Arabidopsis thaliana: one gene and its partner. The protein of the gene in region 1 interacts with the protein of each later gene in a pairwise test. Each region holds a gene or a part of one and is shown on either strand. Other genes may lie near its edges.

Region 1 (4,930 bases):
GTATTTATAGAGAATTAAGACCTTATTAAGTCACCAAAAGATATACATAATAAAGCTACCATATTACACGCAAGAAATTAATGTATTTTGGGAAATTAAGAACCTACTAAAACTCCACGGTCAAAGAAGCCCAACAGTTGTTTAATGAGTTTTACAAAAAGTAATTAGGGTTATAGGTTATTATTAATTTTGACTCGATTAGATGGAAAGTGGAAACCTCGTAAATATTGATTCTATTGAATTAATATATATCTATAACTATATATATTCTATCTTTGTTCATGCTACTATCTTTTTGGCTTAATCTGATAATTTCTCTATTGTTTTAATTAGTTCTTAGTGTCCAGAATCTTTTGATTTCGACGATGTTGTTTATTTCTCTTTTTGTTTTCCATTGTTTGTAATTAAGATTAATTTTTTTTTAGCGTGTTTGCTTGGATGCTTATTACTAGTTGTCGAATAACTCCTCATTTTGGGATGAATCCTTCTCTAATGTTGTTTACCAGTGATCAGAATCCCTCACAAAAGCTCTCTGGAGAATTGAACGAGTTCTTCATGGATTTTTCGAGAATTTTCCACATGACAAGAGGTGAAAATTAAAACATCTTCTACAACTGCATAGAGAACGTTGATTCACATGTCGATTTTTCTTTTTTCTCATCCTTGATCTTATAGATTTGTGAGTCTTCATAACTAAATAAATCCATATGTTTTTGCCACATTTAGGTTTAGATGTCTTGTAATTTTTGTCCTTTTTTGTTTGTCTCCTAGTTTTTGTTTAGAATAAGAATAAAGTTCTATATGCATAGGTTGTTCATTCCATTAATCGAATAGATCGTTTGCCGATATTCGGTCCTATATAGCTATCTCGTCTTCAAAGCTTACTCTTCCCGTCTTTGGATTATTCACTCTCTTCATGGGAGCTGCAAGAATTGCACTCTATTATGGGATTTTTTAATTTTTTCGGTTGGAAAATATATTAACAATTGTAAAAAAAAAAAAAAAAATCTTATAATGAAAAATATGTTACTTTCTACAATAATATTAAGACTTTCATAACTTCTAAGCACTATTTATATACTTTCAATACCTTTATCAAATACTAACTAATATATCAAATATTATTAAGTTATTATGAATAATGTAATAGTAAATTATGTTATCTTACAAAATGTAATCAGTCACATAAAATTTATTGAAGTGAATTGATGCTACAAATTTATATTGTACAAGTTTTTACTCTACAAAATTTATTTTATTTGATTTTATACGATTATTTTATTGTAAGTTTGAAAAATAGTAGTGAGTGGTGGATTCAACATTTAGTTCCTTTGTAACAACAACAAATTAACGAATATTAAAATTTATCAGTTTGGCCCCTTTGGGCGTGTAATTCCAAAAGCCCAGTAAGATTCTCGGAAACTTCGTTAGTCAGAAAAAAGCTGACACATATAATCACAAACAAAATCATTTTTTTGACTCTATCCAAAATCTATCTACCGCCGATCAAAAAACCCTAGAATTTCTTCCACTGTTATGTAAGTTTGATCTTGTTGTCTCCACTAAGAGGCGAAGAGAGAAAGAGGGTTTTAGGTTGTGTGTTCTGTTTCAAAGGGTTTACTTCTCGTTGACCCCGATCGAGATGGTTGATTCTTCTCGTGATTCGTGTTTCAAAGCTGGTAAGTTTAGTGCTCCAGGTTTTCGATTTCACCCTACTGATGAAGAGCTTGTGGTTTATTATCTTAAGAGGAAGATCTGTTGTAAAAAACTTCGAGTCAATGCCATTGGTGTCGTTGATGTTTACAAAGTCGATCCTTCTGAATTGCCTGGTAATTTTCAACACCTTCTTATCGATTTTGATTCATGTTTTCTCTACGTATCGTGATCAATTAGTTTAGGTTATTAATGATGTAGTTGAGTATATGACAAGGAAAAGTTTTGGTTGTTGATGATTTGTTGAGTATATGACAAGGAAACGTCTTTATTCACTATTTAATTCGTATCGATCCTCATTTATGCTCATATGATTTCATTTTCACAATGTTTAGGTTTCCAATTTGTTTATTTGTTATGCAAGTATCAAATTTATGTTGGAATTGGTTTTCTAACACGGTGAATGTAACAGGTCTATCGATGTTGAAGACGGGAGATAGACAGTGGTTCTTTTTCACTCCAAGGAATAGGAAGTATCCTAACGCAGCTAGGTCAAGTAGAGGTACTGCAACTGGTTATTGGAAGGCGACAGGAAAGGATCGAGTCATTGAGTACAATTCAAGATCTGTTGGACTCAAGAAGACTCTTGTTTTCTATAGAGGTCGTGCTCCTAATGGTGAGAGAACTGACTGGGTGATGCATGAGTACACTATGGATGAAGAAGAGCTAGGGAGATGTAAGAACGCTAAGGTTAGTATTATAGCCAAAACTCATCTGTTTCTCTTTTTGATTTATTTGTAGTTTAACTAATCTGTCTTACCTTCAGGAGTATTATGCTCTTTATAAGCTTTATAAGAAGAGTGGGGCTGGTCCTAAGAATGGTGAACAGTATGGTGCTCCGTTCCAAGAAGAAGAATGGGTTGATAGTGATAGTGAAGATGCAGATAGTGTCGCTGTACCGGATTATCCCGTGGTCCGTTATGAGAATGGTCCTTGTGTGGATGATACTAAATTTTGCAATCCTGTCAAACTTCAGTTAGAGGATATTGAGAAGCTTCTCAATGAAATCCCAGATGCACCCGGGGTTAACCAAAGACAGTTTGATGAGTTTGTTGGTGTTCCACAGGTTAGTTTCTTCTCTAATAACATATTGGCTTATGCTTTCTTTCTTTTTTGGGTCCTTTGGTTATTCTGTTGTGCTTCCTTCACTAAATAGATACTTGTATTTGCAGGGTAATAGTGCAGAAGTGATACAGAGCACATTGCTGAATAATTCTTCTGGAGAGTATATTGACCCTCGGACGAATGGAATGTTCTTGCCAAATGGCCAGCTATACAACAGGGACTCGAGTTTTCAGTCCCATTTGAATTCATTTGAGGCTACCTCTGGTATGGCACCTCTTCTAGATAATGAGAAGGAGGAGTACATTGAAATGAATGATCTTCTGATCCCTGAGCTCGGTGCTTCTTCAACAGAGAAATCCACAGAGTTCTTGAACCATGGTGAATTTGGTGATGTTAATGAATACGACCAATTGTTCAATGACATATCTGTTTTTCAGGGAACTTCTACAGATCTGTCTTGTCTGAGTAATTTTACTAATAACACATCAGGCCAAAGACAGCAATTACTTTATGAACAGTTCCAGTACCAGACACCTGAGAACCAGCTTAATAACTACATGCATCCTAGTACCACTCTTAATCAGTTCACTGACAATATGTGGTTTAAAGATGATCAGGCTGCTCTCTATGTTCAACCACCACAATCTTCTTCTGGAGCATTCACTTCACAGTCAACAGGTACTTAAAAAGTCTTTAAACTCACCCTCATCTCAGAGCATTCCCTTATGTTGTCTGCCAAGTTATATTTCCCACGAAGCATTAGTTTTTGAATTTAACCAAGACATGTATATATTATACTCTGTTTTCTTTTTGTTGATATCAAACCCTCTTGTTAAGATCTTGAAACATAATAACCTAGGGCCTTTTTTACTGATACTTTGTGAATACCAACTTACTTAGGTGTGATGCCTGAGTCTATGAATCCCACTATGAGTGTAAATCCCCAATACAAGGAAGGACAAAATGGTGGTGGAACAAGGAGCCAGTTCTCATCAGCTCTGTGGGAATTATTGGAATCAATACCATCAACACCAGCCTCTGCCTGTGAGGGTCCTCTTAACCAGACCTTTGTGCGTATGTCTAGCTTCAGCCGCATCAGGTTCAATGGAACGTCAGTGACTAGTAGAAAAGTCACTGTAGCAAAGAAGCGTATCAGTAACAGAGGTTTTCTTCTGTTATCAATTATGGGTGCTTTGTGTGCTATCTTCTGGGTGTTCAAAGCCACCGTTGGAGTTATGGGAAGACCTCTCTTGTCGTGACCTAGACTCTTGAATCTTGATTCAGCATAAGTTAGCCTGATCCACATCTTTGATTATGTATAGAGTTTGAAAGAGTTTAATTCTTAACAAAAGATTTCTTTTTTCCTGGATTCTCTGATGGCTTTGAAATTTTGCTTGCACTTATCATATTAAGCAGAATTTTTGAACCTCTGTCGTGTCAGACAAGAATGTTGGAAAAAAATAACAATAATGGGCCTGTCGAATTAATGGGCCTGAGCTAGTATATTTCGAGCCCAGTAGGTTCTCACAAACTAAGTAGCAGAAAAAGCTGAGACCATCAAATAGCCAACCAAAAAATCACCTCAATCTACACAAAGTCTCATTTCTCGTTAATTTCCATTTTCGTTATCTCTCTCTCTCGCCGATCAAACCCTAGGTGTATCAATTCGTTCAGATTCCCGGCGGTTGGTCTCACTGTCATGTAGGTTTGATTCATCTTCTCTTCTGGATCTTGAGTGACGAAGAGAGAAGAGATCTGAGTTTTTCTGAGAGAGAGATTTTTCTCCCTCGTTGACCCGATCAGTTTTTTTTCGTCGCTGGGGATTTTCAAATTTTTTTTGAGGGATCGGTTTTGATTTGTTACGTAGATGGCGGATTCTTCACCCGATTCGTGTTTCAAAGGAGGCAAATTTAGTGCTCCAGGGTTTCGATTTCATCCAACTGATGAAGAGCTTGTGATGTATTATTTGAAGAGGAAGATTTGTAGGAAGAGGCTTAGAGTTAATGTTATCGGTGTTGTTGATGTTTACAAAATGGATCCTGAGGAATTGCCTGGTAAATTTCGTCTCTCGTTTACAAATTAGCTTAAGCTTTGTTTAGATTTGTATTGTTTCTTGATCATATAGTTTTGGTTGTTGATGACTACATCAAAT
Region 2 (5,709 bases), on another chromosome or scaffold:
CTTCTCAGCTCAGCTACTTGAATCGCATCCACCATCGAATTCCGCCTTTTTCTTCTTCTTTCTATGAAAAGCTTAGAAATCAGTGAATCCTTGTGATCGTACGGAGCTGTGTCTGCTCGTATTGGTTTTGATTAGACTGAAAAACGTTGAAATAATCATCGCCGAAAACCGAACATGTCCAACCGGTTTTGTCTTCGCGTTAACTTAACCGCGACTGAATTCATATCCGGTTTATCATCTTTTGCAACATCCCTTTTCGTTGTGCAATAAGACATTGGGCCTTGATGGGCTACAACACAAAATGGCCCACATATTGAAATTAGGATGTTACAAAGAAACTCACAGCCAAAACGAAGACCGAAAAATAATTAGCCAAAACGAATTAAAGCAAATTCTAAAAGATGTTCCATTTTCTCCATATATAATGATGACTTCTTTTGTGAATTCGAGTTGGTAACTGGTAATGTATCAAGCTTATTGTTAACCAGAGTACAAATTAGCAAATCCTATTAAAAAAATCCCCATATTTGAATAGAAAATTGATTAGAGAAATAACTTAGGGAAACAGAAGCGATGCAATTCCATTACATGAATTATACATATGCGAGCTTCAGTGATATATACAAAAGAACAGAGTTAAAAAAAAAGAAACAAACAGTTTCTACTAATTTTCCCAAGTACATATCTGATATGCTCTCATAAGTTCCATTCCACCAAAAAACATGTAAACAAAGTATACACTATCGTATATATAAAGCTAAGGAGAAACTCAGTGTGGCGAGTGAGGAAAAATTAACTGAGACATTGAAAAGACCGCCATTGAAATGCAAATATGGATGTGGAGTGGTCTAAAGCAACCTTCTTACTGTAGATGAAATTAGGTTGCAGAGCTGAGAGAAGAACTAATGCATTCAGACATTGATCTGCGACAATCTGTCGATGACTTCTTGTCTAAGCAATATGGGGATACGCTCGTGACCCTGAGAAACCCACAGCGAGAAAGAGAGTTAGCCCAAGAAACTATTGAATGGTGTATTCTAAAGAAGTGTTGCGTACCTTTCTTTGCGTTTCTCTAAAAACCTAGCCAGGGATGCTTTGCGAGCCAGAGGTAATGCCACTGCATAAGAAACAGAACGAGAATGAAGTTACATCCATGAAAATACTAGTAAGTTAGATGGCGAATGTAGTATCAGGTCTCTGACTTTGTTTTTTACCTGTTGGAGCCATTACATTGGTAGAACAAGAAACTGGTACTGGGCAGTTAATATTGGATCCATTAGCTTGGTTGTTGTGATATGTTGACGTCAAGCCTCTTGTCGCTTTTGTGGCTCCGAGTCCGTTTGTGCTACTTCCAGCTTCAGGGCTAAGATAAGATATTGTAGGCATGAAGCTAGGAGGCATAGCTGAAGAATCGACAGAGGCACGAGTATGATGGACCACTTGTTGATGAGTTTGAGGCGGCGAAAAGACTTGAGGCATAGAGGAACCGTTCCCAGCTAGCAACATTATCGCCTTTGCCTGAGAAATGAAAGAAAGCAAATGAGTACCATACCTTACGAGTAAAAGAGATGCATATATGGAAGAAAATGATTGAGATACCTTTTCAGGAGATATGTCATCGTAAACACAAACTGAACCGGCATAAAAGATCGTCAACTGCGCAGGTGAACCTATTGGCTTGGAAGAAGATCTGACAAAAATAAGTCTTTAGTCAACTATGAAAATGTAGAAAGAGTTTCTGTATGATATGATGACTAGTGGGTACCTAATATCAGTAGTCCCTACAATGGAACCTGGAGGAGGAAGGATTGAAATTGGAGGTGCCATGATAGGAACTCCTACCAAAGGTTGTGAGTTATTGTTATTGTTCATGAAGCTTCTTCCTCCTGGTGCATAATGATGAGACTGGAAACCCGGCATCGACATGGAAACTGCGTTAGTTTCTTCGTGTTGATTGGAATTAGGGAACATCCTCACTCCCTGAGAGTAACAAGCCATAAAGTAGGTGTGAGGCATTGTATGAACTAACTTATCAAAAATGAGAAGCTTAGCTTACACTTAAAATGAATCAGTATTAAACCAAGATTAGATCCACAAACTAATTGCCATGAACTTGTGCTAAACTAGACTCAAAACCAATTACTATATGCTCATAAAACAGGGCTCACTTTTAAAGCTATCTTGCGAAGGATAAAAAAAACACAAGGGTCTTGGTTAACATAGGTTTTGATGACAAATACCTGTACAGAACTGTAAGGAGCTTTGCGGGTTGAATCATAAACATCAGCTACTGATGATGGCATGAAGGAACCAGAGTGAGGAAGATGATAATTTCCAGACTTTCTATGTCTATCTTCTTGAGTTGGCCTGAAGGATAGAAACTGAGAAGAAGAAGCTGATACTTTGTTTGAGAAAGACCAGTTCATTCCTCTGTTGGGAGCTACAAAAGAAAAAGAATAAAAGATAATCAGTTTAAAGTCAAACATGTAGTGTTAACTGTTAACCATAAATGTCTCGAGATCTCCTTACATAAACAACAGAGGATTAATTCAACACCTACTTCAAGGAAAAGATTAGTAACCAACAATGTAGAATCTGATACTGTTGACAAATTCAACGAGGGAAAACCACTTTCGAAAACCGTGTCTAATTCTAAAACATTTGATTGAAAGTCATTGTACGAAACTCCAATAATTTAAGTTTGTTTTAATAGTTTAAATTAAAGAGAGATTCAAACTTTAACCCCACCACACCACACCACATGTTGATGCACTACTTTTATGGTGTGGCACGTTTTGGCTGATAAGAAAACAAAGTTGAAATAATTATATTCCTCGTGGTGAGAAAACTATTATTTCCACATTGTACCTTGAACAATATTCTAACGCAAGTTCCGCTTAATCAACACACAACACAAATACACAATCAATATTTTAATAATCTCATAAACTAATCCAACTCACACAATCAAGAAGTTAATCATCTTATAAACTAATCCAACTCACTCTTTTGAGTATATTTAATCTTTCTACCTACTACCAACCGTCTCTATTTTATCATTTTTGTATCAGTCTCTATACATCCCCTCTTTTCCAACATTTTACGTATTCGTTTTTTTTTTAGTATAAACTAATAAAGTATTTCTCAATTATAAGACTCTTCAAACAAAACAAAAAAATTTACTCTAGTAAAAAAAAGTTTACCGAGTTTAATTATGTTAGAAGCTTGAGATTAGTTCTCGTTAATTTCTCCGACCGAAAGCATGTTTAAGACAAGGCTTTGGAAAAGAACACTAGTTTTTCCAAATCCAAATTCTACATCTCCCGAGAAAAGCAAAGGACAATGTTCTGCTCCAAGCAACAAACTGACAATTCCAGTTCCCGAGCAAGCCATAAAATCAGCTATCCAAAAACAAATTCCATACTACAAGTAGTCCTAATAACTCCTAATCAATCAAACAAATCTACGATTTAAAAACAATCAGAATCAGAAAAATTGAGAAGAGTAATAAATAACCTGAATCTCTAGAGCTTTCGCTGGTTTCCTCCTTGACAGTGATCGGAGAATTTTTCGAACCCAACCCGAGAAAATCTCTCTCCATCTATAATAAAGACACAGCCCGCTACAAAATTAATTCGATCTCAAATGTCTGTTTCGATTAAAACGCGTGTTAAACGCCGGAATCAAGCTAAATAGAGCTTCGCCGGAAAAAGGAAAAAAAACAGAGACTTTTGAGGGAGAAAATGAAAAAACGTGGAATGAAGTTAATTCACCGCAATTTCTAGTTTTATTAACAAATCGCATGCGACATGTGAATCGTACCATTAATTTATAACTATAACAAGAAAAAAAAGATTCTTTTTTCTCATATCCTATTGGCGCAAAAACCAGCTACAGGTTGTCCCGGTTACGTCACCGGATATAGTCGGTTAAAAAGGCACGTGCATCGTCGTGCAGTGTGTGGCGTTTCTTTTTGTGGTGAGACGCGTGGCGAGGCACGTGCGCTATTTTAACGTGAATGATTCACGAGATGCGAAGCGGCAGTTTTAATTTATTTTTTTATTCAATGACAACACTTTTTTTTGTCGGCTGACGCGCTAAGTGTAGCGCGTGAGTCTAACCCCCTTTTTGTCTCACCGCTCAATCTAAAATAGTAAAATTAGTTACACTACTTTCGTGCACGTTCTCTTGACCAAGATAAACATTTGCACGTTGCATTTTTTTGGCAAAATATATTAATTTGTATTTTAGTACTATATTTTTAATCTTTGATTAATCGGATGGTACTATAAAGTAATTGTAAAGATTAGACTTTCATAAAATGATTTAAATACAACAAAATAATTGTTGCGGAAATTTAGTTCCACAACTAAACATTATTAAGCTAAATCTAAATCCTCATGTGATTATGTCATCACTCTAATATTATTTTTTTTAATCCAATTTTTAATTATTTTTTCTGTCATTGTACTTTTATTAATATTTTTCGCGAATTATTAAAGAATGTTGCTTGTTGCTTAAACTATACTTGTATTAATTAAGGTAATTATTGGTACCAAAAAGAAAATATTACTTTAATGTACATATTACTAAAATCACTCGTTGACATCGTTTTTGTGTATTTATAAGATGCATGTGGTCCGGGGGAGGAAATTACGCCATTTCGTGCGTCACTTTCTTCTTAATTTAGTAAAAACTAATACTATACTAAATTTACTAATGTTTTAAAACATATCTAATTATCTCACAAATATAATAATAAAGTTTTCATTTTTTTATGAAAATGAATATTTAAAATTCAAATCTATAGAAAAAATGGAAAGGAGTCAATGATCACAACAACTTGACGATCTCTAAACAAAAAAAAAATTGACGATCATCTCCCACGATAACATCGTTATTTCGAGTCTGGGGGATATGCAGCACACGTCATTTTCTCCAGCCTAGAATTTAGATATTAATATCACATTATTAAGAAAATACTACACTGCAGTTTATTATATACACAACATTCCATATAGATAATAGATCAGATCAGATCAAAAGTGGACCTACAAAGCGAAGATTATATCAAAAGATGCCATAAACGCATCTCTCACGCTATGATCCACATAAAACATCCGAAATTTAATTCTGTTTTTACATCCGACATTTAATTCTTGTTTTCTGTTTTTACATCATTTAATTCTGGTTACCACGACATTTTTTTTGTTTTAATGGTATTAGACTCTATATAGACATACAAAACTCAAAACAAAAGATTCAATGATCACCCCCTACCAAAAAAAGAACAGATTAAATGATCACGAGTTGGCTTAACAACGAAAACTTTTCTCCAACCAAAACCAAACTTAACTATTCTAAATCAAACTCAACAGCAACAGCAACGTCTGTTTACAACAACAACTTAAATAATTTTGTATTAAAATCGAATGAGAGTAAATAATGGCAAAGAGAAAATCAAATGACATATGTATATGCATGATATATAGCGCAGCATTTAACTATATTTAGACTGACTTGAGTAGTTGCAATATTTGGCTCTCTTTTTTTTGAGTTTGGTGCTTTAGTGGATCCTTTGATGGCTCATCCTGCTTCTCGTCGACGTCGAGCCAGATCCAGAGAAGAGCCTCCCTACTTAATGATCTGGTCATTTCTCACCTGTTAATACTTACATTTTAGTTTTTATTTTGATATAGACTTATTTGC

What was found.
Region 2: the proteins of NAC016 (region 1) and JAZ3 interact in binary tests that used the Arabidopsis thaliana proteins (3 or more experiments, as listed by UniProt).

What each region holds. Positions count from the first base shown.
Region 1 is NC_003070.9:12,447,084-12,452,013, forward strand, and holds NAC016 (NAC domain containing protein 16), read left to right. Parts: upstream 1-1,642; coding exon 1,643-1,865; intron 1,866-2,125; coding exon 2,126-2,403; intron 2,404-2,479; coding exon 2,480-2,779; intron 2,780-2,885; coding exon 2,886-3,456; coding exon of another isoform or gene 3,457-3,464; exon of another isoform or gene 3,465-3,678; coding exon 3,679-4,037; 3' UTR 4,038-4,204; downstream 4,205-4,930. Other genes in the region: NAC017 (NAC domain containing protein 17), read left to right, coding at 4,646-4,832. UniProt on the Arabidopsis thaliana protein: Transcriptional activator activated by proteolytic cleavage through regulated intramembrane proteolysis (RIP).
Region 2 is NC_003074.8:6,117,860-6,123,568, reverse strand, and holds JAZ3 (jasmonate-zim-domain protein 3), read right to left. Parts: upstream 3,863-5,709; 5' UTR 3,602-3,862; coding exon 3,517-3,601; exon of another isoform or gene 2,487-3,516; coding exon of another isoform or gene 2,441-2,486; coding exon 2,241-2,440; intron 1,981-2,240; coding exon 1,766-1,980; intron 1,691-1,765; coding exon 1,600-1,690; intron 1,519-1,599; coding exon 1,215-1,518; intron 1,118-1,214; coding exon 1,057-1,117; intron 981-1,056; coding exon 878-980; 3' UTR 525-877; downstream 1-524. Other genes in the region: TDX (tetraticopeptide domain-containing thioredoxin), read right to left, coding at 1-35. UniProt on the Arabidopsis thaliana protein: Repressor of jasmonate responses. Jasmonoyl-isoleucine (JA-Ile) specifically promotes COI1-TIFY6B/JAZ3 interaction. Acts as a negative regulator of MYC2 function. Feed-back regulated by MYC2.